2 linked regions of the Rattus norvegicus genome follow. The protein of the gene in region 2 interacts with the protein of the main gene of each other region in a biochemical or structural test. Links are inferred from orthologs where the notes say so. Each region holds a gene or a part of one and is shown on either strand. Other genes may lie near its edges.

Region 1 (4,308 bases), on a different chromosome or scaffold from region 2:
CCATGGCCCAGTCCTCGGGTGAACCCAGGTCCTCGCTTCTGATCTGTCTTGAAAAACTGATGAGTGAAGTGCTGGGCAAAGAATGCGAACATCATATTTGTGCCTTGGGGATCCGGGATGAACTCTCTCCTCAGAAGAACCTTTTCCAGAACTTCTTTTGAATCAGGAAGTTCCTTATTTCCTAGAACAAGAAAACTCTAAAGTAAATATGTATCCATTTACATATTTGTTCAAACAAACAGCTGTCTAATTCCTGAGAGCATCCATCTTAAAAACATGAACTCCAAGAGGATCACAGCACGGAAACAATGGCTGTGCTTTGAGGCACAGTGTCATGCTTGTACCCCAGGCTGGACTAAACTCACTCTCTATCCCAGAATGGTCTTGAATTATTGGTTAACCTTTACCTTAGAGGTTACAGACAACAAGCTAACTTACTAAGGGTATAAATTCATGTTTTAAGATATGGGGGTGAGTTATTGAATAGTTTTATCAATAACTAACATGAATTCTATTTAGCATAAGATGCTAATGTTGAGACATTATATCAAAATGGAGATTTACTTTCACATAATAGATCCGCACTTTTAATACGCCTCTGTGGACAGCCATACTAAAGACAAAACTATTTTACAGTTTTTAAATAAAAGGACAATCCAGGGTCAACTTTTCTAGGTACACACCCAACCGTCAGTACACTTGCAACGTCTCTATTTCTTTGTACTCACCTTTCACACCCATGGGAGTTGGGCAGTCATCAGCCACAGGAGGAAGGGCCCTGGTGTAGTAGGAGAGGTTGGAGAAAGCTTCCCAACTTTTGTAACCGTAGTGCACATTGTAAGTTGGTGGGCTGTCAATCAAATGTGATCTGGCTGAAATTTTAAAGAAAAAAATTATTGAACCTCATGTGAAAAAAACCAACAAGGGGATATCAATTATCCATTGTACAATGGATCAAGTACAGAGATTGGGTTTCATTCAGACAAAGATACCCTGCTTTACAATGACTAAACTTTAAAAGGCACTGGGAAAATGCATCTTCAATAAAGTTTAAGATTTACACAGGACATTATGCTCCAGTAGTCTTGACTTTTCAGGTACTACCCACTTCCTGTTCCATAGCTGATGACAGATACAGTTGGGCATGGCCCTCAGAACGATAGACAGCTATTTTCTCTTCTGACCCCCAAAGAAAACCCTAATGAACCATTTGTTTAAAGGGTGCTTTGTGTTCAGAACAATTCCTGCAAGCCACGGATAGTCAATGAACAAGTGAACCACACTTCCTCCACAGGAATGAGGGGCAGGAGTCATAACCAAGATACAGACTACAGGTTTACATGACAGTGGTTTAGACATATCAGGGGTGGGGGCAGGGTAGGAAAGTATACTTCAAGGCGTTTTGAAAAGGTCGGAGAGATTTCTTTGGGTCGGGCTTCTAGTGCATAGTTTTGTTCGATGCTGGAGAACAAGGGAGGTTTGTACTCACACGTCAACACGTATCTCATGATTGAATTCCGAAGGAAGGGAATGTTGTTCACAATGTTCCAGACTCCCTTGAAGTGGGTCAGGATGTAGTGTACTGTGTTTGGGGTGGGCTTCAGCAGTAATTTGATTCTTGTCAGAAACTCAGCTGGAGAGAGACAAAGCGGGAGGAAGAGCTGAGTAGGCGCCTCCCATAGGACATAAATCTACAAAATTATGGTGACCTTATGTGTCCCCATTCCAAAGGAATATACCCCAAGAAAAACTTACGCGTAGTACAGTTTTCACCGTAGAATCCAGTCCGGGTACAGTCACATTTATATTGGTCAAATCCTATGCTCATACATTCACCACGGTTTTGACATGGGTTGGAACAGCAAGGATTTGCTATATTAAAAAGACAAGACAGCCTGTCAGTCACTCTTGACTCATCTTAAAGATTTAATTGTGTCACTATGGGTCAACTTTACAATGGTAAGTTTGACAAATACACAGGTAGTCCTAGAAAAAAAAAGTTTTATTTTAACTAATTCTGTCTTATGAAATGGTTGTAATGTAGAAATAACAACTTTCTATTCTTAAGCAAGAAAAGCTGAGGACCTAACTTCCTGGCTCACATTATCGACATTTTCAAAATAACTTGGATATTCAGACTAGAATTGTTAAGTTAGCCCTTTGAAAATTAAAAAGTACATTTGTCAAAATTTAGTGTAAGGAATATAAAAGTAAAATAGTCAAGTTTTAAGATTTTGAATATTTTTTTAGAATGTCTTCTGGATTTTCCTGTGGGAAGAAGAGCCTCCAACATGTATTTAAAGCAATCACTCCTGTTCGGTTGCCCACACACGTGCTTTTCACAAGTATTGATCAAATTCTGTCTTACCATAACGACAACCATTACGACTATTTCATTTTAGCAAATGAAAGTGGTTCTCTGCTCAGTTGAGTAATGGCTCATAACCTGAAAGCGGTGGCAAAACCCCTGCCATCCTTGCAGTTCCTTTGGATTTTAGCGGCTCAGGCGCTTTGCCAATACACAGCCCATCCCATACTCCTAGAAAGGGGTCTGAGCCAGAGGAGTCCCTCCAGGGGTGCTTCGGGGCGCGAAGCCACTCACTCACCTGCATGGCTGAGCGCCAGGGCAGCGCAGAGCAGCACAGCTCGGAAGAGCATCGCAGAGGTGGCAGCGGTGGTGGCAGCAGTTGTGGCAGCGTTGGTGGCAGTGAAGCTGGCGGGGGAGCTGGCAGGACACAGAGCTGAGTTCCTTCGTAGGCAGGGTCTTCGTACTCCTGAAGCTCTCCGCTCAGTTTGACAACTGGCCGCTAACCCGGAGAACCTTGCTTTTAAATCTTAGTAAAGTGGACTCCACGTGACTTCGTGACTGTGTCTTTCCGCCTCGGCTTTCCCCACCCCCCCACCCCCCCAGCTTTCCCCCATCTCCGCTTCCAATTGCATAATACCCATAGGGGCAGGCTTTACTCACGCAAATGAGCCCAGAGAAGCCAGGAAGCTTCCCTCGGCTGCCCAAAGTGGTGCCAAGAGAGCTGCACCGCCCTCTGCATCCTTCCAGGCGCCCTGTGGTTCGCTGTGCCTGCTCCAAGACTGGCTCTCTTTGAGGTCTCGGGTTTCCTCCCAGTCCCGCATCCACTGGGGGGCCGGAGGAGCAAGAGAATGTCACAGCTTCCCCTCCCGGGATCCGAGATCCTAACTAAGGGAATCCCCTTGCCTCTCCCCACTGGGGCGCAGTCTGACGTGCTTGCTGCTCTGAGCACGCACACAGTTACCGGTGTATTTAATTTATTCTATTTTTAATGAAATGAGAGGGCTGCTGTCAGGGTGACATCTGCATTGGTGGAGTTAGAGTGAAGTCTTTCACCGAACTGTCCTCCAGGCTCCGCAGTCCTAGCAAGCCCCAGGCACTCGCCTTTCCCAGAGACAGATGCCGAGCTCCACGTCGGAATGCTAAGTGTCCACCGCATTGCTTTAAGGTATTTTCCTCCCTGCTGTTACATAGCTTTTATCATTTTGATCAACAACTCTTTCACAGGACAAATCACTAAAAGGAATTTGTTTTAAAATGTACCTTTTAAAGACTTATTTTTGTCCACGTTTACGTTTACAAGAAGATATGCTATGGCAACAGATCAAAAGATAATACTTTTTTCCCGATAACTGGCCTTATTCTCGCTAACCTTAAAAAAAATCCACTTCTTTCTGAAACATTGCTTGATAATAAAAATTAATTGCCTAGAGAGGTGATTTTTTTTTGACTGTTGAATAACTTCCCACTGTGTTTGGTGTTGGCCCGGGAGGGGGATCTGAGGATGGAATAGTGAAAAACCGAGTAAAACAAGAAAATGAGGAAACTAAAACATTCAATTAAACCGTACGTTCTTGGCATGAATGGAGAAAAAAAAAAGACACAAAATCTGAAATTAAACTGTATTCTCAGGAAAGTTAAGTCAGGAAACTGGTTTGAAGCAGTCTGGGCAACACAGCTAGAGCCCTGCTCAAAAGAAAACAAACCAGAGCAAAACAAAACAAAACAAAATGTAAGAAGAGAAGGTCCAACATGGGGGAATCGACCATGAGAAACAGCCCTTCGGAAACTACCGAATTCCTTACTCCTCGGAGGTCTCCCAGAAAATAAGAACGCTCATGGAATTTTTTTAACTGTTTGCTTCATGTGCATGCTAGTTTGATTCTACATGAGACATAGTGACTAAAATTCCATGTCACCAAGGGCCTTTGTTCTAGTCATGTTTAATCATTCCGTGTATGGCACTCCCAACCCCTGACAGGGAGTCCTATGCCATCTCAACT
Region 2 (3,511 bases):
AGGGATGCCGAAGATGGTAGACAGCAAGCGGTAAAACCAATATTTTGTCACAGTGAAGGTGGTGAAGCTGGCCTTCCAGATGCCGTCGAAACTGTGTGTCCCTTCTGGTTCCGCAATCACATCTTCAAAGTCAATCTGAAAGAAAGAAGGGGCAAACCGTGAGTGCGAATAGAAGAAAAGGGGAAAATACCACATGGCATGGTTATTTGTGTGCCAGCCCTGTGCAAGGCGATCCACAGCCGTCAACTGCTTCTGCCTCCTTGGGCCTCACTGGGGACATGAACACATGGGTTCTCAGATCTGATCATTCTAGGGTGGAGCTGAGAAGCATTTTAACATACATGTCAGATACTTCTTGACTATGTCTTCAGTTGAGGATTACAGCTTTCAGGACAAATGGATGTGAGGTAAAGCGAAACTCAGAAACATGAGTAAGGACACCCAACACTCAGGAAGAGGTAAAGAGTGTGACCTAAGTTTTTACTGCCCTCAAAGACAATCATAATCCAGTATTAAGTACTAGACACATTTCGAATCAGACAAATCCATTAATGACTTTTGTAACAGGATTAACAGAATCCTTTCAGGGAGTTAGGACACTATGGGCTGAGGCACGGAGATGACTGTAGGTGGTAAAGCAGAGCTTTGGAAATGTATGTGATGGAGAAAGGAAGGTACGTGGCAATGCTGGCAGCCAAGGCTCAGGAGCAAGCAAGAATGAGACTCAGGAGTGTCCCAGGCAGAGGTGACCAGAGTGAACACATCAGAGAGACAGGTTGAGGCTAGAATGGGCATTGTTTTCCATATAATGAAGGTCTATGAAGATGTTAGAGTAGGAAAGAGCAACTACAGTTACAGAGTTTCTTCAGATCAATGTGACAATGCATGTGATTATGTAAGAGTGTGTGTTTGTGTGTCTGAGTTATGTGCATGCCTGAGCTGTTTGTGTGTGTGTGTCTAAGGTGTGTATGAATGTGTGTATGTGTGTGTTTGAGAGGTGTGTGTGTGTGTGTGTGTGTGTCTGAGTTATATGTGTGCCTGAGTTGCTTGGGTGTGTGTGTCTGAGGTATGTGTGAATGTGTACATGTGTGTGCTTGAGAGGTGTGTGTGTGTGTGTGTGTCTGAGTTATATGCGTGCCTGAGTTGTTTGTGTGTGTGAATGTTTATGTGTGTATGTGTGTGTTTGAGAGGTGTGTGTGTGTGTGTGTGTGTGAATGTGTGTATGTGTGTGTTTGAGAGGTGTGTGTGTGTGTGCCTGAGTTATATGTGTGCTGAGTTGTTTGTGTGTGTCTGAGGTGTGTGTGAATGATGTTTGAGAGGGGGATGTGTGTGTGTGTGTGTGTGTGTGTGTGTGTGTGTGTGTGTGTTGGACTAAAGGGAAAGGAAACCAACAAGGAGACTGTGGCACAGCCCAAGTGAAGATGGCACAGTCAAGATGAGAAAGTGGTTATTGAAAAAAAGGAAGAAAGAAAGAAGGAAGGAAGTGAGAAAGGAGAAAAATGGTGGAAAGGAAATAAGAGATCAAAGAGAAACTAGTTCCTGGACATTATGACAAAAACTCTTAGGACTTGGTTATTTCCAAGAGAGGAACAAAGGATGACCTCTGAACTCCAGATCAAACTGTTATGGAGAACACACATGACATTAGAGCAAGGAGAACATTAGAGAGAAAAAAATTTAACAGGACAGAACCTCACTTTAGAATTAGATAAATTGAGAATATAGATTCTGGTAACGATCACGACAAATACCAATGCTCCAAGAATCATATATGCTTCAGAAGTCCCTTTTAGGAAGCCACTGGGATAACAATCAGCCAAACTTGCAGTCACATAGCACTTACAAGTGCTTCTTTGCATTGGTGACCTGGAACAGTAGGTTCCTGTCACTTTACAAAACAAAGACAAATGGCAACTTTCTAAAGACAGAAGCAGGCACAGCAATAGGGGATCCTAGTTAGATAAAGTCCTTTTCACCTTCCCACTTGCAGTTACTTCTTAGGCTTTAGATAAACTAAATGAAGCACAAGAATAAAGGCAACTCTCATGAGGAAGGCAGAGAAAGAAACTGCTATGTGAGGGGCTCTAGCATAGTTTGAAATCCACAGAAACTGATGTTGACCAGCTGCAGCCCGGCAGAGCCCAGAGTCTAGGCTAGAGCTTAGGTTCCTTCAGTCTGCGACTCAGTGCCAAAGAGCCACCTTTGATTTAGCACACCAAAATATCTTTGGAGAAAGTACATGACGCTTACCAGTCTTAAAGTTTGTTTTCTAGAACATTCTGTTTCTTTCTCTATTGCCCAATGTCCTAATAGTATAATATGCAAAATGGTTTCATTGCAATTTTGTAAATGAAGTTAAATGGATTTATTTTTATTGTATTTTTCCTCAGTTCATTTAGAACTAGATTGAGGTAAATATTTACGTGTGTGTGTGTGTGTGTGTGTGTGTGTGTGTGTGTGTGTGTGTGTGTTTAACAGATTGTAGAATTCAGATAGCTCAGGTGCAAGCACAAAGGCATGAGTTTGGTCTTCAGAACACACTAAAAAACTAAGAGTAAACAAGCAAGCAAGCAAGCAAACGAACAAACCAAAGCCCACACCAGACATAGGGCTCAGCAAGCCAGCCACACTAGTCTAATTGGGGAGTTTAAGACAGTGAGAGAGTTTGTCCTTAATAAAAATAGATGAGTGGGTTTGGAGAAACAACCTCTGATATGTCCTCTAACACACAGATACACAGACACACAGACACACAGACACACGCACTCACATAGTGAAAAGTGGTGGGGTATAAGGGAAATTGGACCAATACTTGAACGACGTTTCTGTCCAACTTATTTATCATTGTCTATTTGCAAGGTTATAATAATAAATTCTTCCCAAAGCAATGAAAACGAGAAATTAAAAGTTTTCTTTCAATTCCTTTAAAATATATCTTTTTTTTAATTTCTTAAAAATGTCATTATTTCAAGAGCAAAACTGAAAAAGTCAAAAATGCAAAATTATCAGTAAAATTGAAATCTGGGTTCAAAAGATACACAATGCATAGTGATTTACAAATATCCTGGGAGCACACAACTGGTTGAGTGTACAAAGTGTACAAAGTGAACAAAACATGCAAAGTGTACAAAGAGTACAATGGCCCATTGCGTTCAGTACAGGGAAGATCTATTACTGATTATCCCAGAAATGACAACCAATTGTCCATGTGAACAAGAGATTGGTTTGAAGCTCAAATCTGGTCAGAGTTTGCAGGTATATAGGAATGAAAGAACCACAATCATATTTTTTTTCTTCAAATGTGGACCATTTTTTTTCTGAACAAGAGACAGTCAAGATGAATTTAAGTACCTTTGTGGTTGTATGTACAACAATGTTTCCACATTTGATTTTAGTGGGGGAAATATAGTTTTATACTGTTAGTGAAAACTGTGATTGTATTAGAACATATGAAATGTATATCACTACATTATTATCATGATTAGATGTATGTGTAGGACACAATGCTAAC

Evidence for each region. The genes of interacting proteins can lie anywhere in the genome.
Region 1: the proteins of Cav1 (region 2) and Ptgs2 form a complex in vitro, tested with the Homo sapiens proteins (2 studies listed by BioGRID). The link is inferred for Rattus norvegicus from reciprocal best matches to the Homo sapiens genes CAV1 and PTGS2.

Annotation. Positions count from the first base shown.
Region 1 is NC_086031.1:64,712,557-64,716,864, reverse strand, and holds the start of Ptgs2 (prostaglandin G/H synthase 2 precursor), read right to left. Parts: upstream 2,803-4,308; 5' UTR 2,659-2,802; coding exon 2,607-2,658; intron 1,873-2,606; coding exon 1,756-1,872; intron 1,634-1,755; coding exon 1,490-1,633; intron 873-1,489; coding exon 729-872; intron 182-728; coding exon 1-181. UniProt on the Homo sapiens protein: Dual cyclooxygenase and peroxidase in the biosynthesis pathway of prostanoids, a class of C20 oxylipins mainly derived from arachidonate ((5Z,8Z,11Z,14Z)-eicosatetraenoate, AA, C20:4(n-6)), with a particular role in the inflammatory response.
Region 2 is NC_086022.1:46,634,030-46,637,540, reverse strand, and holds part of Cav1 (caveolin-1), read right to left. Parts: intron 136-3,511; coding exon 1-135. UniProt on the Homo sapiens protein: May act as a scaffolding protein within caveolar membranes. Forms a stable heterooligomeric complex with CAV2 that targets to lipid rafts and drives caveolae formation. Mediates the recruitment of CAVIN proteins (CAVIN1/2/3/4) to the caveolae.